Oreochromis niloticus: one gene and its partners. Each later gene encodes a partner of the first gene's protein in a complex. Links are inferred from orthologs where the notes say so. Each region holds a gene or a part of one and is shown on either strand. Other genes may lie near its edges. The genes, in order: apba1a, lin7c and lin7a.

Evidence for each region.
Region 2: apba1a (region 1) and lin7c share a complex: the UniProt entries of both Homo sapiens proteins name them as parts of the brain-specific heterotrimeric complex. The link is inferred for Oreochromis niloticus from reciprocal best matches to the Homo sapiens genes APBA1 and LIN7C.
Region 3: apba1a (region 1) and lin7a share a complex: the UniProt entries of both Homo sapiens proteins name them as parts of the brain-specific heterotrimeric complex. The link is inferred for Oreochromis niloticus from reciprocal best matches to the Homo sapiens genes APBA1 and LIN7A.

The regions. Positions count from the first base shown.
Region 1 is NC_031977.2:993,203-1,001,512, forward strand, and holds the start of apba1a (amyloid-beta A4 precursor protein-binding family A member 1), read left to right. Parts: upstream 1-4,848; 5' UTR 4,849-5,800; intron 5,801-5,819; exon of another isoform or gene 5,820-6,164; intron 6,165-8,310. UniProt on the Homo sapiens protein: Putative function in synaptic vesicle exocytosis by binding to Munc18-1, an essential component of the synaptic vesicle exocytotic machinery. May modulate processing of the amyloid-beta precursor protein (APP) and hence formation of APP-beta.
Region 2 is NC_031965.2:17,987,594-17,996,367, reverse strand, and holds the start of lin7c (protein lin-7 homolog C), read left to right. Parts: upstream 1-5,400; 5' UTR 5,401-5,577; coding exon 5,578-5,614; intron 5,615-6,539; coding exon 6,540-6,658; intron 6,659-7,579; coding exon 7,580-7,651; intron 7,652-7,800; coding exon 7,801-8,010; intron 8,011-8,774. Other genes in the region: neurotrophic factor BDNF precursor form, read left to right, coding at 1,480-2,310. UniProt on the Homo sapiens protein: Plays a role in establishing and maintaining the asymmetric distribution of channels and receptors at the plasma membrane of polarized cells.
Region 3 is NC_031981.2:15,758,525-15,766,472, forward strand, and holds the start of lin7a (protein lin-7 homolog A), read left to right. Parts: upstream 1-4,779; 5' UTR 4,780-4,880; coding exon 4,881-4,917; intron 4,918-7,948. UniProt on the Homo sapiens protein: Plays a role in establishing and maintaining the asymmetric distribution of channels and receptors at the plasma membrane of polarized cells.

The DNA of each region.
Region 1 (8,310 bases):
TAGTATCCTGCCCAAGGATATTTAGACTGGAGCAGTGAGTGTAGAAAACATCGCCGTCTCTGTCGCCTACTGTCTGCAGGTCATAAACTCCACCTGCTCCATGTTAACAGATGCGAGTGGGGTCAAACTAAAACAAGATCTCCTCTTCTCCTCTCAAATTTCTCCCCAAAATGCTTTCTGACATTATTAGTAGTTCTCATGAGGCTGATTTGTCTCATAAGTTTGATTCTACTGACTAACTTGCTGTGAAACAGGTTTGCCGGTTCATCATGACCGCTGCAGTCACAGAGAGCAGGATGCTGAGAGAAGGTCAAGCTTTACTTTCCAAAACCACAACAGTTTCAAAGTGACAGTGTGAGGTATTCACCAGCAAACTGGACCAAATGAAGACGTACGTGTGTTTAGATGCTAATAAGTAATAAATACGAGAGGGTGTTAGGGTCAAGACAAATCTACATAACGGGTCATTTTGAGAAAAAAGTCCAATTTTTAGATTAGATCCGTTCTTTTTTGAGAAGGAAGTTGAAATGCGCTGATTACAGTTCGTTTCAAGACAAACTGCCATGGTTGCTATAGAGGTTTTACACATGACGTCATGGGCATGTCGTTTAAGAGCTGTCTGCCATACTGGACATGATAACCACGTGGAAAGTTTGAAAGACCTTCAGAGAGCTACGGCTCAGACGCTCTTTAAAACTGACAAAGTCTCACTCCTTGGAATAAAACTGTAACTAAATGAGGACTGTAGACTTTTACACTGTAGGCTAAATAATCTGTTGTTGGTGGATCTAACGCGTGGCGTGCAGCATCTACTCTAACAGCTGACGGTATAAGTTTGGAACAATACTGTGACTGTATTCACAATATTTGATATTATTTTATAGATAAAACTGAAACAAATACAAACTTATTTTTAAAGTAATCCACAAGTGGAAAGGATTACAGTTCGACCCATGTGATGAACATTTTCAAACTGTTTTTCTCCTTAAACACATTTTTTTACTTCATCATGCATTCCTGTGCGTTCTCCTCTTTCACCTGATTATGTCACTAATGTTTTCAAACACGTCACGTCACCCCAGAAGAGACGGGCACAAAACAGTCTTGTGAAATTCAAGCAGAGGCAGACCTGGAAGAAAAAAAAACGTAATGATGAGCAAGGAGCAGCTCATGCTGTTGTTGGCTTATCTGGACAGCAAGACAACACCGCATTAGATCAGGAGATTCAACAGGAAGAAGACCACCTCTCTGTGCCCTCTGTGTCTGATTCTCCTTCTAGATACTCTCAAAGTGTATCAACTCAATACGATATGACTGTAAATGACCTCAACCAATTAGAGAGAGAATCCCAAAATCTCAGGACGGAGAGGTTTGATTTACCATCTCGATACAAACAACTGATGTTCCTGCTGAAGAATCCTTCATACATGATGCAGATAAAGTTAAATGCTTCACTGGTTTACCCAACTACAACATATAAGTATTCATGTTTATCGAGACACACCTGGAGGATACTCAATCTCAGCCTTTCAGCAGTTCTTGCTCACCTGCATACTACTCAGGTTCAAAGCAACCATGCAGTTCCTTGGATTCATGTTTTCTGTACAGGCTTCATTTCACTTGGATTGATTTAGCCAGAGCGGGAACACATACCTTCACTGCCTATGTGAACTTTCCTAAATGTATTTCAGTTATTGATTGTTTTGAAATAGTCATCGGATTTCACTCAAGGATTTCAAGGCCAAAGCTCAAACTTACTCCCAGTACAGTCACACAGTACCATCAAGTATTTGATAGGCATTATTCCCACGGGAGCGATATTATTCGATTCTAAGGGGGGGTGCAGGACCACAGACGGTCACATCACAAGCTCCTACCCGGTGATGTGGTACCAGCAGATTCAACATTCAGGACCATAGTGGGCTGTACTGTGCTGAGGTTCACATACCTGCTTTTACTTGAGGAAAGAAGCAGCTTGGATAGTGGAACCTGAGAACACTCGAAAACTGGAATCTGTTCGAGTGGATTTGGAGCATAATATGTGATACGCTCTGCTGCAGGAGCCAGTCCCTGCAACGGGACAATGATGACTCTCATTGAAGTTTACCACACCTGAAAACATTGTACGCATTGCTTGTGCAGTGACTAAGTTTGTAACAACATAATATTTCAGATGCATTTTATCTCTCAGGTAATTGTGCATCTTATGTGATCTTTATGAAATTTAAAAATCTCAATGTATGTTCCTCAGTTTGGTGTTTTGCCCTGAACACAAGAATATTTTGTAATTCTTGTTATTTCAATAAAAACTATATTTTTGCTTCTTGGAGCTCCATTTATTTCATTACAACTGTGCAAAGTGTAAATAATATCAAAGTAATATCTCTAAATGTAAATGGGATCCTGACCCCAATTAACAGAAGTAAGAAGTAAGTCTCGAAAGTCGCCAAATCTGGTCATCGATGAGGAGTAGCCATCCTGATTTTATATATAGTCCCATTTGAACCATTTGCAGAAACTACAGATGAGGATGGACGGTATGTTCTAGTTTCTGGGAAAACTGAGGGAGTGGAAATGAGCTTTTTGACTGTATGTGCCCCAGCAGGTAATGATTTCTGTTTTTACAGAAATATTTTTGATTTACTGGTTGGTTCAAGAGGTATAGTCATTTGTGGAGGAGACTGGAACATACGGCTTAATCCCAGATTAGACTCCTTCATAGCAGTCCCTTAACCCTCCTACACAATAAGTGAGTGATAAACCTCAGGAGAGATTTAGGGACCAGCTACACTCACACATGTGCTGTATTCCAGGACTGATTTTTTATTTTAAGAGAGACCGTCACAGAATACCAAACTGCCAAATAGGATGATTCGGCATGAGCCCCCGCATCCTCAGGACCTTCTATCGCTGTGCCATTGAGAGCATCCTCACTGGATGCATCACCACCTGGTACGGCAACAGCACCGCTTACAACCGCAAAGCTCTCCAGAGAGTAGTGCGGTGCTCTGAACGGATAATTGGAGGTGAGCTTCCCTCCCTCCAAGACATCTACAGGAAGCGGTGCCTGAGGAAAGCGGGGAGGATCATCAAGGACTCCAGTCACCCTAGCCATAAACTCTTCAGACTACTTCCATCAGGAAGGAGGTTCTGCAGCATCCGGTCCCGTACCAGCAGACTGAGAGACAGCTTTTTCCACCAGGCCATCAGACTGCTGAACACGTCATAGACACCTCACCTTCACTACTGGAACTTCAACATTATGCACTCCATACTGTACATTAATGCCACTGTTTTGCACATGTCCGACTACCAACCTCTGTATATTTTATATATCTTATTTTATTGTTTACTCTATTTCATTTGTAAAATATGTATATACACACTCACACACACACACACGCGCGCGCGTAGAAAAACATATTTAGTATACACATCCAATAATGCATATACTCTTATATATTGTACATATATTTATTACTTTCAGATTTAGTCATTCTTATATTTTTGCTTGTTTTACGTTATTGTATTTTTGCACAACTCTGTTGCTTGAGAAGCTCGCACACAAGAATTTCACTCGCATGTACTGTACCAGTGTACCTGCACATGTGACGTGACAATAAAAGTGATTTGATTTATTGACTTATGTGATCATGCACCTCTACTGTTATCGTTGCAAATTAATAACAATCTAAGAAATTGATTATGGAGGCTGAATACTGATGTTTAAAACAATCAACAATTTACAGGAAAAATGAAAGAAGAAGAAATCAACAGAATTATGGTAGAAAATGACAGTGGAGAGGTGGGCCCTGATATTCTGTGGGACTGGTATGACTCAGGTCAGGATTTTGTGTGTTGTCGTTGCTCGTCACACATGAGGGTGGCGTTGTTTGTTCTCTGTTACTGTCTTTATTGTCTTGGAGCGACTGTAACAACAGAATTTCCTCAGGGATTAATAAAGCATCCTGATTCTGATAATTCCCTTTTTTAATTAAAAATAAATAAATAAAAGTAAATTATCAAGACATTGCCTATTTGCGAATTTGTTTGGAAAATGTTCAGCTGACACCTGGTGAGGTGTCAGCTGAACCACGTCACAGAATACACTCCAATCAGTGGAAGTTAAACATGAGATATAATTCAGTATTAGGTTTATTTTAGTGTTTCATTTGTTCCTGAGCAAACTGATTTAGCTGAGATGAATCTACAATTCATAACTGGATAGTTTGATTTCACTTTATTGTGTTACTGAAGAGCTTCTTATATGTGGAAATGAATCTTTCACTCATGTTTGTGCTCTAATGTAGAAATGAGCTATACTTGTTTATACAACTTATTTTGAATTAAAATTAACATTAAATTTTTTTAATACACAAAGACAGTGTGAGTATTTTCACTGAGAGCAGAAACAAGCTGTTAGAAGCTTGTTAGACACTATGAAACAAATCATCTCTCTCTAATTCAATTCAATTCAATTCAATTTTATTTATATAGCGCCAAATCACAACAAAAGTCGCCTCAAGGCGCTTTATATTGTACAGTAGATCGCACAATAATAAATACAGAGAAAAACCCAACAATCATATGACCCCCTATGAGCAAGCACTTTGGCGACAGTGGGAAGGAAAAACTCCCTTTTAACAGGAAGAAACCTCCTGCAGACCTAGTCTCAGGGAGGGGCGGGGCCATCTGCTGCGACCGGTTGGGGTGAGAGAAGGAAAACAGGATAAAGACATGCTGTGGAAGAGAGACAGAGATTAATAACAGATATGATTCGATGCAGAGAGGTCTATTAACTAATATTATCTAATAATAATATCAACTAATAACAGTAATGAACAAGACTAAAGGCAGAGAGGTGATATGATAATAATAAATTCATATAGTTTATATGGCACATGCACACGTGTTAATAAAATGTTACGAGTCAGTAACATAACATTGAGTAATGACTCAATATTTATTTCATTGAAGTAGTTTGTTTTGTTTTTGTTTTTGAACTCATCGTGGACGTCATTAGGCACAGACAGGCCTGCTCGCCTCTCCTTATAAACAGAGAATGGAAGCTGTCTCCTTCACCCACACCTCTGCTGTCTCACATGCACACACAGCACCAACTGTCAGAAACAGCTCGAAGCTCATTTGCATCTATAGTCTGTTGGTAGAAGATCACAAAAATGTCACAAAGTATATCAGCAAACATAAACACCCATCAGCACCAAACAAGAAAAAGCAGACATCAGTGTTACGAAGTCTGTCGGTCTTACAGTTGTAGTGTTACAGCTGAGTCCAGGCTTTCACGGAGAATACATAAAAGCACAGTGACAAAGAGGCGCAGCATCTTTAATTAAAGATATCCTTGTGGAGGAGGTGCCAGACCATCAATCGGAACATAATTCAAAAGAATGCAAAGCGGTGATACTGCACAGCGTTGCGGTGCAGCGTTTTCACAGTTCGTCTCTAAAGAGACTCCAGTGGTTTAGTGACTGTTTCCCCAGCAAGTGGTGTTCGTTAAAACTTATATATATACATTTTTATATATATTTTATATTGACCGGCGTGACTATATGAAGCTTTTTCACCCAGACAATGTTCTCTTTTTAAAAACGTATAAACTTTGTTATTTGTTGTGCTTTATGGTAATGTGACGGTGGCGGTGAGCGGAAGGAGGTGCTGAACGGCTGCGGAGCACACGCGCGCGCGCACACACGCGCGCACCGCTACAGGGAAGATGGAGGACGGTGTGGCCGTAACGCAGAGGACCTGCATCCTTTAGCAACATCACTCCTGTGAGCAGGTTCGTGTTCAGGACCAGGCTGTTCGCTGTAGGCTCGACCCACCGAGCGAGATGCGGTCAAAGCAAACGTCTCCGGGCTGGGCTGTTGTCATCATCATCATCATCATTATTGTTATTGTTGTTCTGTGGAGCTTCGCTACGCGGTCTGTTCACTGAGGAGTGGTTAGACGGAAAACTGCGCTCCGCAGATGAAACGTCAAACCAGGATTCAGAGTGAAGGAAAATCCGAAATGGCAGCGTCTTTGTGAGGCTGTGTGTCGGACCCACGCAGAGCGGACATGAATAAATCGGCACATAGAGGCCCTGTTGTCTCCAGGTGCAGAGCCACGGCGGGGCTAACCGGTCCATCCAGCTCGGTGCGATGGTTAGATCGTTTCTCGATGTTTCTTATTGCGTGCTTCATTCAAAGCAGGACTTCAGCTGAGCTTTTGTAAAAGCAGAAGCCGAAATCAAACAGATGTTTTGCTGATGTAGTTGATGACAGGAAAGCTGGGGGTTGTGTAGAAAATTCAGAAAATCTGGATGAAATTGGAAAATCTGGGTAGTTTTGCTTTATTCCTCCTGAAGGTGACTTCTACCAAACATATGAACGACTTCTGTAGTGTTTTAGAAAAAGATAAAGTGATGTTTGAAATATTAAAGTACAATAGTCCTCACACATGGAACCACGTGTGTGTGGCTGTCTGTGCATAAGGAGGCAAACTGAGGCCAGCACCGGGGTGGCTGATGTTCCCAAACACAAATCTCATAACAAATAAGAAAGTGTCAAATTTTTATGTAAGAAAAAAGTTCCCGCAGGACTTTGACTGTGCACTGCTGTGAATAATACTTGTATCATTAATAGTGTGTACAGGCACTTTGTAGTTTGAAGTAATTGTTTTCTGTATCATTTTGTCAGTTGCTCACATTGTTGAGGAGGAACTTTAGCTTACTCTTTTTCACATTGTTGTTTCAGTTTGTTGAGCTGTGCAGTCATTTGTTCATGCACACATTGTATTGATCTGAAATCTGGACTTAGGCATGTTGCAACACTTGATTCTTTTTTTTTTTTTTCAGATATTCTGTTGCAGATTTTGCTGGTGTGTTCAGCGTCTTTGACCCAATTTGGGCCAAGCTTTAGCTGCTGAATAGACGATCTCTTATCTGACTGTCATACTTTGATATTCATTGAGTGAATCATATTCACTCAATGACTAAGGTACCAAGGTTGTATGGCTGCAACGCAACCCCAAATCATCACCCCTCCTCCACCATGCTCGACAGCTGCTAACAGATGTTTGTAGCTCTGATGGTCTGTTTGGGTTTCCGCCAAGCACAGCAGTCTCATTGTGGTCAGACGTCTCAGTCTTGTCTGTCCAAGGAACATGTTCCAGATGTTTTTTGGTTTGTCCAGATACAACTTTGCACACCTAAGCTGGCAACCGTTCCAAATAAGACAGACAAGTTCAGTCTTTGAACTTGTAAAGCTCAAAATCCCATTGAGACTTTTCAAAATAAACTGAAATGATATACATTATTCTCAAACATCAAATTTCAGAATACGCATCAAACAAATGACCTCAAAGAAAAACATAAGGTAAATGGCGCTTACAGTCGACGCCCAGCTGAAAACACTTCATGCAAGTCGAGTTGCCTGAGATTCACTGAATTTACAGAAAATAAACTATTTTGTGATGTATATCGTTATCGGGATTAGAAATGTCATATTGGGATATGAGATTTTGGTCATGTCGCACAGCCCTACCAGTGGCAACAAAACTTCTTGTACTTTTCTATTTTTGGTGTTGGATTCTTTTCAGCATACTTTGGGTTGCGTGACAAGATTACCAGAGGAAAAGACTTGTGGTGTATTCAGGCTCGAGGAGCCTGAATTTCTGATATTTCTGAAATAAAGGTTTAAAAGATACCGAGCTGTGGTAGGACATACAATGTGCTTTTACTCATGTCACACCTTCTTAGTTTAAGTGGCTTAATTATATTTATGTAGTTATTATAGTTTTATATAATTAGAGATTGTTTTTATTTTATTGGATTTTGAAGCTCTTTGAACTGCACTAACCTGGATGAAAAGTGGTGTTGATAGAACATCCTCCATGCTTACTGTTACAGTATAACATTTTGACATGTAATGTTTGCAGTATAGCTCCTTTTTAGCTCCTTCAAACTGTTTCAGTGACTGAGTGTTGCAGGTACTTGGGCAGAAACAGCCAAAGCAAAGAGTCCCAAACAGAGTAAGGTATTGTTACCGGTTAGATTAGGGCTGTTCGATATAACGATATATATCGGATGACGATAGAAAAACGTCTATCGTTTCATTTTACGCTATCGTTTGTTTCGTGGTGTCGCAAAATAAACTGTTTACGGCAATATTTTTTCATCATTTTGATGGTCACTGTAGTGGCTATATTAATTTCCTAAAGTTCTCTCTTTCTCTTATATTTAATATAACCACACTACGGAAGGACAAGCGCTTGTTTTTTATGCGTTTTCGTTAGCAACAACGACAGTAA
Region 2 (8,774 bases), on another chromosome or scaffold:
TCTATTTTTAGACGAGATATCTCTATGGCAGTCACCGTGGTGTCGGTTAATTGCAGCCACAGCCCCAGATACCAATTAAGAATGAAACAAATGCTTTTAAGGTGGGGTTTCGCTCCTCCCTATACTGTAAAGGTCCTTGTGTCCATTCTGTGAGTGGAGGCTGGAGCAGGGGCTCGCTCTCGCCGTGTTTTCCTGTGTCAGGCTCGGACATGCAGAGTGCAGTCAAAGCCTCGGCCAGGCTATTTTTAAATGAGCCCCTGTGGAAGGCAAGATCTAGATTTTTTTTTTCTTTTTTTAAAAAATTATGGGTGTTTTTAAATCTATGTCCTTTGGATTCATTGATTTGCTGTGAATCTTAGAGCTTCTCAGAGGTAAGGGACGCACACATGCTCAGGTAATTTTACAATATGTATGTACAGTGTTTCAGTTTGGTTTTGCATATGTTTTGAGTTGTTCTCCAGAGCCTCGATAGCAGTGCTTTGCACGGCAGGATATCACATCATTCTGTCATTCAGTTTCCTGTTAATTCATCCCGCAGTGCTCTCGCCTTCCACCTGCCGAAAACAAACAGTGTCCCTCAACAAACCCATAGTTCCCATTCATGACTACAAGGTGTAGTACCTGACCCGTCCTACAGCACAGACCAGTTTTTTTTTTCTTTTTAATAAAGTAATACTGCAGCATCAGTGTTTGCCAGCGCTGACACAAACACACTGACTCTGTTAGGAAGTGCTGTCCACACCGGAGGTTCCCGAAGTGTTAATACTGGTGATTTGTTTGTACGGTAACGTCACGGTCGCGTATTCGTAACGCGGGTTGGGGGGGCGGGCATAAATCCATCCACAAGAATTCAACAACTACAGGATGAAGTTTAAGAATGAAAATCCTCAATTTCCTTACCCAAAAGCAGGGGGGCAGCTGTGAGCTTTCAGTACAGCCAAAAAAAAGGAAAAAAAGAAAGAAAAACAGCCAATTATTCCAACAGAAAGCCATGATTGGCAGGTGTGGCCATTATAAATATACACGGCACCGTGCCTTTTTAACAGACCAGTCAAAAAGCTGTTAGGATGTTTCGACATCTATTTGTGTAATCTTATCTTTTGTAATAAGCAGCCGCTCTGATGCTCAGCACAGCTTTTGTGCATTGCTGCCAACAAATAGAGATCTAAGCCAGACCTCACATAGGAACAGAATGATTACAGTTTGCAAACAATTTGAAAACACCGATGACACAGTGCCAATATCAGTTTAATAAAAACATGTTGTGATTATTCCGAAGCTACTGGCTCCAGTTTTTTGGCTCGCAAACAAAGAGTGGAGGGTGGAAATAGGAGGAGAGGCTTACGTGGTGCATTATGGATCAAAAATAAGCTAACTTTGTTGAAGATGCTCTTTGACTGACCATCTCGTTCTCTCGCCCTCCCCCAACCCTCCTCTCTCTTCTTGTTTTCTTTCTGTGTCTCTCTCCCGTCCCTCCAGTTCCACCAGGTTAGAAGAGTGATGACCATCCTGTTCCTTACTATGGTTATTTCATACTTCAGTTGCATGAGAGCTGCGCCCCTGAGAGATGCCCCGGGCATGCGGGGCCATCGGACGGAAGGCTACTTGGGCGCTGCTGCAACGGCCGAAAGAGGCCACGGGACTCCCCAGAGCGGTGGAGGGCCAGGCCAGCGCGGGGAACTGCCCTCGCTCACAGACACATTTGAGCAAGTGATAGAGGAGTTGCTGGAGGTGGAGGGCGAGGCGGCGCAGCTGGGACAGGGGGCCGATAAGAGCCAGGGAGGTGGTGGCCCATCCTCTGTAGTCACCACGGAGGCCAAGGATGTCGATCTGTACAACTCGCGGGTGATGATCAGCAACCAAGTGCCTTTGGAGCCGCCGTTGCTCTTTCTCCTGGAGGAATACAAAAACTATCTGGATGCCGCTAATATGTCCATGAGGGTGCGGCGACACTCCGATCCCTCACGACGTGGAGAGCTCAGTGTGTGTGACAGTATTAGCCAGTGGGTGACAGCTGTGGATAAAAAGACGGCAATAGACATGTCCGGGCAGCAAGTTACCGTCATGGAAAAGGTCCCTGTCCCCAATGGCCAACTGAAGCAATACTTTTATGAGACCAAATGCAACCCCATGGGGTACACAAAGGAGGGCTGCAGAGGAATAGACAAGCGGCATTATAATTCCCAATGCAGGACAACCCAGTCCTACGTGCGAGCGCTTACCATGGATAGCAAAAAGAAGATTGGCTGGCGGTTTATAAGGATAGACACTTCATGTGTATGCACATTGACCATTAAAAGAGGGAGATAGTGTATAAAATGTATAGATTTTATTGAAGAGTTTAAAAAAGAGAATAAAGAGAAAATATCTATTTGTATATATACATAACAGGGTAAATTATTCCGTCAAATGAAAATTTTATGGACTGCATGTAAAAAAAGATGAAGTTTATACAGTAAAAGTGATACTACAGTCTATTTATTGAACATATTCATGACCTTGTAAACAATTAAAAAAAATCTGATCAGTCATTTGCGCCCAGTTTAAATTACTATGTCACATTCCTCAAGACATTGTGATTTGTTTAGGTTGCCAAGAATTAGAAAAGGAAGGAAAAAAATTAACAGGCAAGAAATGAGGGAGAGAGAGACAAAGAGGGAGACAGAGAGAGAGAGAGAGCGAGGACAGTTCCATCTTCAAAAGCTTGCATGCTGCTTCAATTGTGAATCGATAAATTCTCCACTTACAGAAAAAAAAGGATATGATGCTGACCAAAAAAAATAATAAAAAAAACATTCCGTTTACATATTCAGCAGAAAACAATTTCCTCTCAAGTAATTTATCTGTTTACTGTTCTAAACTTCTCAAGGTAATGTTGGAATTACATACTATGTCAAGGTGCTGTTGTCAAAGCTTTGCTGTTTATTTTTTTATCCCCACCAGAGGACAAGATATATATATAAAAAATTATATAAATATATATATATATATAAAATTTATTCATTGACATGTTTCTGGGTTAATATTATTCATTTTGTATGTTGTGAAGTTGTTTGCAATATTAAACTGAAATATTTGAAGAAATAAAAATGACTATAGGCAACTGAAAAACAAAATCAATGTCGATAAAGTTTCAACGGTGCATTTTTAGGCAGGGTAAACTTTATTATACGGACAGTCGGCAGGCAAGGAGGGAGGAGGCACATATGCACACATGCATGCGCACAAACCGCCACATGTCCGAAGCATGAAAGAGCAGAAATTCAAATCCTGAGCAACAAGAAGTGATGTTTTAAGATAAGAAAATGAGTCCTTGCTTTGGGTCACTCACAGATAACCAGTGTTAGAGTACAGAAAGCAGCTCCTGGTGTCATTCAGCTACTTCAGGAAGGAAAAGAAAACGGAGAAAGAGAGAGGAAGTGCCCCTAAACCGCTTCCTGCTCCCCACCAGCACATTTTTTCAACACAAGTTTATGTGCTTTGGATCTTTGGTGTTCATACACAGGTGTTCAGAGCTTTTGCTCCAGCTGCACGTGTGATGTCGCACAATTACGAGACCCTATTAACACAAGAAAAGGGCCTACGCGTTCAAGTGCAGACTAGTACAAGTGGGTAGACTGCCTGAGCTTGACAGTGATGGATTCAACCACCCATACATTTGTGTACATTAAAAATGTACACCCAGCGTTTTGTTATTAGTGCGCTGTAATCCCAGCTTTAACTCCTCCACAATAGGACAATCACCACTGATTTTTTTAGCTCTAAAGTCACTGTGATCAGAAGGAGAAGCCGATCTCCATAACTGGTTTGGCACCTGGGTTAAAAGACTGCCGAGGCTTTATATCAACTTTCTCCCTCGGGCAGATAATAACTCATTGCAATGCATGCCTGCCAAGTCTGGATTCCATAGCTTAAGGTTTTAGTGGGAATACAATAAAATATGTTCAGCGTCTCATCTTCGTTACATAAAACATTTCCAGAACATACTGCAGAAAGATTAAAAACAACAAAAATGCATAAACAAAATTTCTTCAAAACACCAGCGATCCCTTATGAATGAACACAATCACCTCATTTTACCACGCCTCCATCAGCCTGAAGGTAAGTGCAAAGACAGCCAGATCTGAAGACGGTGAAGGAAAGATGGGCCAGTTTCTTCACTTCCCTGCTTGGACCCTTCACAGAAGCCTGATGATGATGCTGTGAGTTAATATCATTAAAAGCAAAAAAGATACCGAGGCTTCTGCAACACAAACAGTGGGAAGACGAACAATATCATAAATGATCTGGTCTTCAAGGAAAATCCACCTGAAGGTATAAATGGGAATGATTTGGTAAAATTCAAGCACTATCCCGTCCTCAGCACGTAGGACAATGAATCAGCCATTCAACATTTTAGATAAGATGATAAGGATGTGTTTTGTTTATCATGAGCATGAGCCTTAGGCTACTATTTTTTACAAAGTTCAAAAAAATAATCTGCCAATCATACATTTAATAAAAGAGTGCATAAAGGGAGGCAGGGTGAAGCCCGTGGTGTTTTTCAGTGTGACCATAAATCAGGCATATGAGTGAATCCTACAATCTTTTAGGAAAACAATGGGCCTACTGTGTTAAGAAAAGAACAAAAGCTGCTGCTCACCAAGTCTTTAAGCGTGTCTACTTTATGCCACGCCCACATTCGTGATGTCACATTAGGTATTTTTCATCACCTGTCAAAAGATTTGCGTTTCATCACCCACTGGGGTGTGGTCAGGAGTGAATCATGCTCTAAAGTTTCAGGATACAGAGAAGCAGTGCAGCTGCAGTTTTCTGCATTCATGGAGGCTCAAAATGTGATGCAGCTCACCAGTAGGGGGTGGCAGAGAGAGCGCTCATATCAGACGTCAACAAAAAGCCAAATAAACCTTCTTCTGGTTGGCCCTTGTTGTGGCAGTACATATTAATGTAATCGTCCTTTGAGCTATGTCTGTGGAGGCTGAGCGAAGATGTTAAATGGAGTTCTCCACCCCTCGGGTTGTTAAATGGTAATATGGAATCTGGGTTTGGATTCTAGCCAACGAGACCTTCAGTGGGCTATATGCATGGCACAAAAATATCCCGACTCTCATTGTCAGCATCAGCAGTAAACATAATAAAATCAAACCGCTGTGCTTAAAACTAAATCTGGCATTACTAATATCCAACATTTGAAGCTGCTAAGGTGTACGTTTGGACGAATTAAAGAAAGGACATTTGTACACTAAAGCGAGGTGGAATATTGGTAAATCTATGTGGCTTATGTATGTATGATATATCATAGTTTTACACCAGTAGTCGTCTAGTAAAAGGATAAAGTAACAAATACAAACGCAGTGACTTTAAAATGTGATTGAACATTCCGAGTTCACAGTTTTACGAGGTTTCCCTGAACGCATCATGACACTGGCAGCTAGCCTAGCCGGCTAACTTGGCTAATCTGATTTATCGTCTCAGTTAAGCGCACATAACGCCAGCCAGGATTACCAAACTTAGTTTTCAGTATTTTTCCTTTTAGCGAACTATCTCCCTAACGCCAAACATCCTCTCATTTCAATAATGGCATCGCTTGGGGAGCCCGTGCGATTGGAAAGAGGTGAAGTTAATTAGCTAGCTAGCTTTAGCTTAAAAATATTTGTTGTGATATGCGGGCGACATAAACCTAGCCTAGCTAGCATTAGCTCATTAAAGCAGGCGGCTTATTTTTGTCTGTGTACTCTGTTTTATGGTGGGATAACGATAGAGTAGACATCTTGCGGTTAATTCTTGTATGATTATGTATATATAGTCACCCAGCTAAAGAAGCCACAGCTATTACAGCTACATTGTTGTACTTAGCACATTAGCCACCTAGCTAATATTAATGACAACAGACAGTGATTAGCCAATCTGGCTGGTTTGTTCACTGTATCTTACCATAAAAGAAAGAAGATTTTACAGTTACGCTGGTTGTATCATTATATTAATTTTTGCGGCCTGTCTGTAAATAACATAAGTTCTGGGTGTGTGTTGCTGAAATGTGCAGAGGAAGCCCAGATTTGTGTGTTAGGTTAAACTTACGGGTTACACAAGTAAGTACACACGTAAAACTTCACGATTAGAAATATTTAATAAACTTGCAAATGCTTATGAATTCATTGCTATTAAAGTAAGCTGTACATTCGCAAAAACAAAATAAAAAAAACAAAAACGTGATGCCTGCTGCCTCATCCCGTCAGGGGTGGTTAAATTTACTTTATAAAAGGGGTGTTACTCTGAGAGTTGCTTTATTATTGCATTATAGCGATTTGTACTAATTGTAGTATGTTCTGGTGACCGTGGGAGACAAGCTTGTCCGGAGCATATCTATAATAAGAACAAATATAGTGCAAGTAAATGTAAATTGTAACAGAAAAAAAAGGCTGCAGCTTTAAATGGGTGCCGACTGTGCTCTGACGCTGATGTGGGTAACTCTCACTGCCAATGTTAACATCTACATTTGCAGGCCTCAGTAATGGTTATGTACATGTTCTTGTTGACAGATATCAACCGTGCTATTGAATTGCTTGATAAACTCCAGAGGACAGGGGAAGTGCCTCCCCAGAAGCTGCAGGCACTGCAGAGGGTCCTACAGAGTGAATTCTGTAATGCTGTCAGAGAAGTGAGTCTCTTTCATCTTGTATCATTCAAAACACTTAATTAAGAGACATTAGTTTACAGTTTGGAGCTTAACCGTCTGCATCCCAGTAGAATTCCCAATAGAATGCTCCAAAATTAAGAGAGTGGAAGTCTGGTTAAAAGTTAGTTTAAATTTTAAGGTCACTAATAGCGCTTTCTAGCTATATATGACCATTTAAGATTTGTACATTTATGTTTTCAACATCTCTTTACCATTACCTCTTTGTCCTCCTCTTCTTCATCTGGCACATCCACCCCTCCTCTCTGCTCCCTAACCTCCAACTCATTCTCTTTTTCCTCACCTCACGCCTCATCTCCTCAACTGAAATCGAGACTCTAACATAATAAAACGTGCATAAACATACTTATTCGTTCGCGATAATATCACATTTAGTTATCATCAGCAGATTGGGTATGTGGCCCTGCCGCTTTGGGACAGCTGATAGCCAGACGGCTATAAGAACAACAGCTAGTGTTATACCAGATAACGTTAAGCTAGAGAGTCTGAAAAATCACATTTTCCCTTTGATAAACATTTTCACATCATATAAGTCCCCTTTTACAAAGCTTTGCAGCCTCCTCGAAATTGATGTGATCGAACGCTGTAAATAGTGGACTGACAACCATCACTATTTACAGATGTACGTCAGCCATAGTGTGAAATAAAATGTAAAATATTGCAAAATACTTAAATTGCACAGCCATTTCTTTTTTCCCCTGATTTATTGTTAAGTGTTGACTTAACTCAAATTGTTAAAGTATACTGTGTACAAAAGTGTTTTTGACAGTCGTAGAAATATGCTGGCTGCCCACAGCTGTTATGGTTATAGAAAGTTAACCCTTTGGTTTGGTTTGAATTCTTTGTGTTCGCCTGTTGAAATATTGTCCACTAATGTCTCCTCAGGTCTATGAGCATGTGTATGAAACAGTGGACATCAACAGCAGCCCCGAGGTCAGGGCCAATGCCACAGCAAAGGTAGACAGTTGTCAGTTACTGTCTGAACACAAGATTTGGTCTTTTTGTAATCTTAATTTCAGACATTTAATTTCTTAAAATGGGTAATTTTGTGCTTTGACTGCAGTACATACAGACGAGATATCTAAACACCACTTTCCTATTTGTAGGCTACAGTGGCAGCTTTTGCAGCAAGTGAGGGACACTCACATCCACGAGTTGTGGAACTGCCCAAGACAGAAGAAGGGTTGGGTTTCAATATAATGGGCGGAAAGGAGCAAAACTCACCAATTTACATCTCACGGATCATCCCAGGAGGCATCGCTGACCGACATGGAGGCCTGAAAAGAGGGGACCAGCTTCTCTCAGTGAATGGAGTGGTGCGTTTGAATTCACAGCATGGTTTACATTTTAGACTGAGCCTGAGCAAATTCTCTATTTCAGATTTTTTTTTAAACAGGCAGATATTAGAAATAATACATTCTTCAAAAAAACTAATGCACAGCTAGATTTTGTTTCAGGATTTAAAAAAAAAAAGGAACTGCAATAACCGTGCAAAAATCTGGGGACCCATCTACTTGTAAAATCCTTGTTTCTGAACTTGTTACACCATAATTTATTAATGAGAACTTGTAAGGCAGGTCAACAACTCTCCCACTCGTCAAACTCTTCTAGTAGTGCCTTAAAATGAAGCTTATTAAAGCCTAGTAAACAGGGGAGTGCTATAAGAAGATATCAGCTTGTAGCTTGGAGTTGTTGGCAACAGTTTGTCCATCATAGGGAGTGACAGGATTCAATCAGTGGAATTTGCATCAACAAAAAACAAAATCAATAAAATCCCCTGCCTGTGCTCACCTGTGCTTTTTTTTATGTTCAGACTTACATCATCATGTTGGTTGATTATTAGCCATAGAGTCTGACAATGATGGCCATTTACCAGCTAAACCTTCTTCAGTAATCCATATTACCAGTGAGCTGGCACGAAGCAGCTGTCAGAAAAAAAACCTCAGAAACCCTGTGGAGTCTTTGGCGTCTTCTTGGTGCGATGGAAAAACATTTCCTTATGTCAGTGACAGGAAGCTGTCAATTTTGTATGTTTAGAAATAATAATAATAATAATGGTAATAATAATGGTAGTAATAGT
Region 3 (7,948 bases), on another chromosome or scaffold:
GGTAGGCTGTTATGTTAAAATGAAGCTCAGGTGGTACTAAGCAGCCCAAAGAGTGGCCAGAAAATATCCTCCACACCATCAGACACAACCAAGAGGCTGAGCTGTTGGAGGATGGATCCATGCTTTCTTGTTGCTTGCACCAAATTCTGATCCTACCATCTGAATGATGCAGCAGAAATCAAGGAAGGGGATCTAGGGGGAGAATCCCAGTAGATCAGCAGTTTCTGAAATACTCGGACCAACCAGTCTGGCACCAACAAGCGCGCCACATTTAAAGTAACTTTAAATCACCTTTCTTTCACCTTTCTTTCATGCTTAGTTTTAACTTTGTCTTAACCTTGTCTGCATGCCTAAATGCAATAAGTTGCTGCCATATGATTGGCTTATTAGATATTTGTGTTAATGAGCAGTTGAATAGATGTACCTAATAAAGTGGCCATTGAGTGTAAATGTCTCATAATTTGGGTCTTTTTTCTTAGCAGATATTAACAATAAAGAAGAAAGCTGAGGTTCCGTCATATGAACAACAGAACAGTAGATTAACAAACTCATGGTTATTTCCAAACAAGGGTGAGTTTTTGTACTCTACTCTTTTTCCCCCCCTGGTTATCCACACATCCAAAGTTTGGAACGCCCAAACTTTGAGACCCACTCACAAAAGTGCATCCTGACTTGCCTTAAAACAAAACTTTAAATGTGAGATTCATAGTTTACACAACAGCCTGGAGAAGCGGATGCACATCACCATCCTTCACTTGGTTGTTCATACACAGGAAATTAGTTGCATCAACTTGTCTCGTTAAAATATAAATACAATTTTAAAGAATTATCTGTCACATGTTTTTCAAGATGATGTTTTTTTCATTATCTGTCTGGCACCGCCTGATGGAGCAATATAAGCAACCGAGCTGCTGTGGAAAAGCAGCCTGTCATCTTAACACAAAATATCCAATAAATACTTTATTTTCGAGACGTTATCGCTCAACAGGAAATTTTCATCTTTTTTTTTCCCACTGTGGCATGCCGGATGGATCACAGTCAGTGCGGCACAAGGATTGGAATCGATGGTTGACAAATTTAATAATGGCCTGTTTTAATAAGCAGTTGTTACCTGGAAATGAAACCCATGTTATCATTTAGTGAAATACTTTACTTATTTCCCTACTGTTTTAGAAAAGCTTTTCTTCCTGTGTCAACATAACAAAATCTAACCTTTATGGATTTTATTAGCCTTTTATCAAAGCCATGTGAGTGATATTGATCTTTTTTATGAATGTGTTGCAGGAAAAGGAATAAGGTTCCAATTTTTCCCCAAATGTCCATATGACCTTACCTGTTGAATTCAATTTGAATGGGTACTGATGGGAATTGAAGATACAAATAGAACTTGCACACTGGCTAATGCTCTGAGCTTTGATCTGCTAGGCAAACAGTCCAGCCGTCTGTATTTGCCCTGTCCACATGGCCTCTTGCATCTCCTTCCGTGGAAGTGGAGGCATTTCAGAAATCAATTCACTTGCAGCTTTGTGGCTTAAAGACCAGTGCGGCATAATCCCAACCTCTTAAAAAAAGCAGACCTGTATTCCAGCCCATATAGATGGAAGCCTGTAATCTCGCTGTGCCCTCTTTCTGTGTGCTCTCTAAGCCCTCGCCCTCTCTATCCGTCCATGCAGCCTACCACTCACCACTATTTTGCATCTGCACACAGCTGGGTGGGACTGTTGGTGGACTGAATTCGCTTTTACTTATGGACTATGTATTTGAAGAAGCATGCAAGTTTAGAAACTGTTTAAATCAAATGCAGAGGAAGCGGTTAAACATTTAAAACATTAAACATTTTAAACATTTTATTACAATTTTTAGATATAGCAGCCAATTTGAAGTGAAGTGAGGTAAAGAGGTGTAGTATTTGCCTCCCAGCTGGGTGTAGACTAAAACATTTAGTGCAATGCATGACAAGATAAATAGGATTTAAGTAAAATGTCTGTGTTTATGAGCCTGGGTTTTGCTCTGAACAGCTGTGCACATGTTAGTATAAGTGCTAGTCCTTGCCTCAGGTGTGTATTGATGTTTACAACTTGCATTTGTCATGGCGAAGTCACGGTTCGTGAGCCATGTGACACGTCATGCTGCCTTAGCATCCCTCCAACCTGGGAATCTCTTCTTATTTCTGTTGAGCATGGCTTCTGTCAGCTGTAATGACTGCCCATGTATGAGACACGCCAAAGCAGCAGGCGCCATTAGGCAACAGATCTACAGTAAATGAAGAGAGCCAGCGGTTTGGCACCATTCTGTGGTAGCACATAAACATGAGGATTAATTCTTAAGCCCTTCAACGTAGGTTCACTACCGTCATTCGGTCCTTATCTGGCTGTATGCAGTGCATGTAGCCAGGAGAGAAGATAACAGGCAGTATAGCTCAGTGGTTCACAATGAGCCTTCATGGCAAGCTTGGTTGCAATCACCTGATCTCTGAAGTGCAAGGATTATAGCTGTGTAAGTGTTCATGTGTGCACAAAACACACATGTGTGCATCATTGTGAGATTCAGCATGCAATCCAGGTCCAGCTGGTTGACTGCAATATGGTGAAACTTTTCAAATACATTACTGTGACAGATGGAATACCAATTTTGACTGTTTTTCAACATATTATTAGCTTAATGACTAAGGTCCGCCATCCCTCTTCTTTTAAAAGGTATCTTATGTGTCCCATGAGAGCACTAGTCAGGCTACCTCTTGTTTTTATGAGCCTAAACTGAGTAACACTCCTGATGTCAGCATGCAGAGCTCTCTCGATATTCAGGAGTTTAAAGATCTATCTTTTTAATTTGGCTTTCAACTTGAAGTACTGAAGTGCTATATCTTTATGCTTAGTTGTTAAGGTTGTAATGTATGTTTTTAATGTCAGTTTTGCGTATAATTTCATTTATGGGCTTGCCATCAAAAGCACTTTGAGATGCCTGCTTTTATCAAAGACACTTAAGTTGAGTCGAGTCAAGTAGACGGCAGTGAATAGAAAATCATCTTGTAGTAACGGTGACTAGGTGTTACTTCAGATTCTAGTGTTGAATCATGGCAAAGGTAATGCCCTTCTATGTGGTGTTTGGTTATTCTCCTCACACCTCCGTGGCCTCCAACTGCTCCAGTTTGTCCAACAATCAAAACATGCTGGGTTAATTTTCTTGTAATTGTGCCCTTGACCAAGGCACAGGCTTGAAGCGTGGAGTTGATCCCATGAGCCCACTGCCTCAAATACTTAGGATGGGATAAATGCAAAGAATTGCTTTTCCTACAGGGAAATAAAGGGTCTCTCACTCTGTGAAGGCCATGAGAGGCTCCAGCCTCCCTGCAACCCTGAATAGGATAAGTGGAAGAAGATGGCTATGATAAACTGTAAAAAATAAACATGTTCAGTAATATGTGGACTTAAATCAATTCAAAGACGAGGTGTGCTCTGGCAATTTTACATTGTCAGTATTCACAAAGGCAGGTTCTTTAAGAAATGGCTCACCCTATTTGGTATGCAAGAAGACAGAGTCGTGCACAGAGTCCTGACTGTAACTCTGTCCAACACTTTTGTGGTGAACTGGACTGCCTGGAAGCAGGACCAGTGCTTTTCACAAAACCTTTTGTGATTACGTAAGAGTAGAACATTGCAGTTAAGTTCCCAAACGCTGCTGAAAACCCATCAAGAAAAGGGAACTCTGTTATCACAGCTGCGGCCTATATCCTGTTTTTTAAACAATACGTTCAACATTAAAACTTAGAATACAACATGACCCCATTCTCTGTTAAACTTACCACATTACTCTTTCTCCTGAAAAGCTGGACGTCTTTTATTTATTGATTTCATTCATTGAGATAAGCTTACATTAACTCAATTTTTCAAATTAAATGTAGCTTGCAAAACGAAACGAATCATATGATTGTCAGACTGCAGTGCTATATGATCAGACGTTTTGTCCCCCTGTTGGCCATTAGAAAAAGTGCAGAGTATGGCAAAGTTTTCACAAGTCCATATTTTATATACAGCACATGATTAATCCAAAGATTGTGTATTAAAGATAAATCTAGCCACTGTGACCTCTCAGAGCCCTGTTGTAAAGCACGAAGGTGCTTTGAAACCAGATGTGAGGAATCCCAAAAGGATGATTCTGTTCATCTGGACGTAGCGTTTTCATCCAGATGAACAGAATCAACCTTTTGGGATTTACTTACCTGGATGATTGAGCATGCATCAAGACAGATGTGAGAAATATGTGACACTAAGATACACTGCATCCTCATAGGCAAGTGATTTGTAAATCATTGTAAAACATACCCTGCTTTAGTCTACCTTTTTAATCTAAAGAAGTCCATAGTTATTCAATCGAACATTATGGTGTATTCAGTGAGGCCCCAAACTAGCATTTGCGACCATAAACTCATCGGGAAACAGTTTCCTGAGATCACAAGTTAAAGCCAAGGTACTGGTGCAACCATAAGAGTCTCCCCCTGCTGGCCATTAGAAAGAGTGCAGTTTTAAAGAGCTTCCAACACTTTTTTTGTAGACAATATATTTTTGATCTAATGTAAAGAATTTTAAAAAATTAGTGTATTTTTTGGTTTTTATATGTTATCAAATTAATTTTATCCAAATGATTTTTTAATTTTTTTTTAAAAAGCCAAAAAAAACCCCGTGAATACTATTTTTCATTAAGAGCGTAAAACAGCAGCGCATAAAGCGCAAAACAGCTGATAACAGCACCGGGTGACGGAGATGGATGGAGATAGTCTAATCCTCTCCCAGCCACTCCCAACCTCTCTCTCTCTCTCTCTCTCTCTCTCCCTGTGATGCTGCAGCTCCTGTAGGCTCTTCAGTCTCCAGTAAACAGCAGTCATGGCGACAGTGGTCCAACCGCTCACACTGGATCGAGGTAAGGCGATCGGAGCTTTGCATTCTGTGCATGTCACCGGAGAGATTATTTTCAGCCTTTTTTTCCCCCAAAAACTTGAGCGAGGATTTGGTTAGATTCTGATGTTTTCTGTTTTTTGGTGAGTGTTTGTCCAGCTCGGATTTCCTACACATCGTCTGCGCGAGTCGCTATTTCAAGGCAATATGAGCTCTGGCTTTTCTAAATAAAAGCCCGTCGGTTCCGTCCGTGTATTTTTCCAGACCGGAGCGCTCAGTTCTTTCGTCAAACTACCGAGGGGGTTTCTGCGAGCACGAACATCTGGAAATTAATACCCTTAAACCACTTACAAGGGGTCTCGTTTAATTTCATCTGTATTATGTAACCCCTTTGGCAACATTGTCCCGTTAAAGCTCGCTTTTTGATCTTCATCTGGCGGAGACAATAACGCTCAAATCCTAAAGCGCCTTGACACGAAAAATCTACTTTGTTAGACGGGAGATAACTTCTCAGGCTATCTGAACTGGACAGGTGCAAGACTGGCTGATTGGTTCCCTCATCAGGGTGTAGATGTTGTGTTTTGTACTTGTTGGAAGCGGTGTGCAAACAAACCGCAGTTGAGGGTTAATGTTGTCCTGTGATGATGTTGCCTAGCCTGTTTTGTTAAGAGCTGTTAGTAATTACAGACTTTGTAACTTAGACACACATTAGTCCCCTGATCTCATTCATAAGATACAATAATAATGCATGTAGGCTGATAAAATGTTCATTTTCCCACCTAAAGATGCTGTACAGATATTTAAAATACACTAAGGTCTCTCGTAATATAGTAATTCCTCTGGGAGATTTGAGGAAGTACAGAATGTCCTGTACACTTGAGAAGATGCCCTTTACATCTCAACACTTTTATGTTAAAGGAGTCGCATATTCAGACCAAATGCAGATCCGCTGGTGAAATGTAATATTGCACAAGCCTTGCATAGGGAATGGATACTGTCAAATATAGAGAAAGGAGAGAAAGGAGACACCTTAACGCTTTACTCTGTGCCAAGTAAAGCCAGCGTCAGCTCTCCTTCCAAGCCACACGAGGGACTTATATAAATACTCTTATTAATTATTCTGTAGGGATTAATCTGACTGATGTCACTCGTTATTGGTGATTTAAGTAATTAACCACATTAACATCTACTGCTAAAGAACACAATTTTTTTCCCTTCCATATGTTCAATTTGTTCTTCAATGAAATTTAATGTCTGAGGGCAGTGAAGCTTTACAGGTGCACAATCTGCTGGGAAGCTGCAGAAGTGCTGTACATGCAGAGTTAATGAAATGAGCCACAGATTGAATCCGGCAATGAGATAAACAATGCAACCTAAGCTTTTCCCACCCATGTCTCATAGTAGACTATAGATTTATTTTTTAAAAAAGAGGCTCTGCTAAGCTGATAAATAGATTTTTAAACAGCAAGGCAAGGAGCGATGTCCTGCAACTTGATAAATTGTCAACATTCAGCCATGTCTGATCTTAGTCATTTGCTTGGGCAGTGACTCAGCTGTGACCTTCGTGTGTACACACGGGGCCTGATCCATACCCACAAGCTGGAAAATGCAGCTGTAATGGCACAAACAGTAGTAATGATAGTTTCACGCAGGAGCTGTCAGAGGCAGGCAACATTATAGGCTTCCTGTCCTCGGATCCTGCCACTTTGGTGAAAACACTATAATTGCTAATGAAAAGGTGCACTCCTCTCGTTTCTGGGTGGAGGCTTTTGCTGCCGAGTTGCTGAGTTTGTCAAATGCACGCAGGGAGAAAAGGAACAGAGATGTTCATTTCCAGAGCTCCCACTTGGCTTGCGGGGTCACAGCAGGATGAAAAGATATTACATCATTGGCCTTCCTGTTATTGTCAAAGGAAATGACTGTGATAAGCAAGCACCGTCGAGAACAATGGATTTGAACCTCGCTGTATAATAAAAAAAGAAGCCTTTTATTCTCAGTAGATCTGGCATTTATGTAAGTGCAAACTGACACACCCCGGAGATGAAAACCTTTCTGTATGAAACAGTGAGAGCAGAGGGCACTGTGACTGAAACTTCCACAGATAAATTTAAACATCTATCAGGTACGGCTAGGTGGCAGGACCCAAATGCAGGACTCAGAGACAATGCTGTAGCTTGAATGCTTGAAGAAAAAACAAGGATACAAAAAACCAGAAACTCCCAGAAGCAGGAGAACAGGAAACAAGGACGTCAAAGATAGCATGAGTGGACGATGCGACAACGAGCAGAGGAAGACTGAGGACTAAAATGCACACAGGATAACGAGAGGATGGGCAACAGGTGGCAACACAGCTGGAACTAATGCAGACTAACAGGACAGGGGAAGCAAAACTGAACGCGCTGTACACTAGACACGAGACTGTCAAAATAAAACAGGAAGTATGATAAACACGGAGATGAAGACTAATCCACAGAGGCTTGACTCGGGGACCGGGGAGAAACAGACATGGGGAGATGACTGACTGAGGAGACAGAGAGGGAACATCAGACACAGAGACAAGAGAAAAACAAACATGAAGACGAGACTGACTAAACACATGAGAAGACTAGACACTGCGAAAAAAACTCAAACACCACACAGAACTAAAGGCTAACCGAAGCATACTTAAAACATGACGTAAATATAACTATGAACCTAAGAATCACATAGAATATTCAAAAAATAAACTGCATATTGTTCAGAAACTTAGTACCAGTACCATGACAACGCCGGCAACCTGCATGTTTCCAGTGAAATGCTTACTCGCTGATGGCAGGATAATGCTGGCCACGTTGTCCATTTCAGTTTGGTGTGTTACTTTGTGTTACTTGTTAACTGATTGTTTTTTTGTGAGTCATATTCATTATTTTATAATGGTCTGCCTGGTCCAGAATTCAGCTCAGAAAACATTGAACTAATAAAGCTCATTTGCTGAATTGTAGTCCTTCCATTTAATTGCATTAAAGTCCTTCACTTTATAAAAAATGTCTGGAATGTCCAGCCAGCAGGGGTGACCA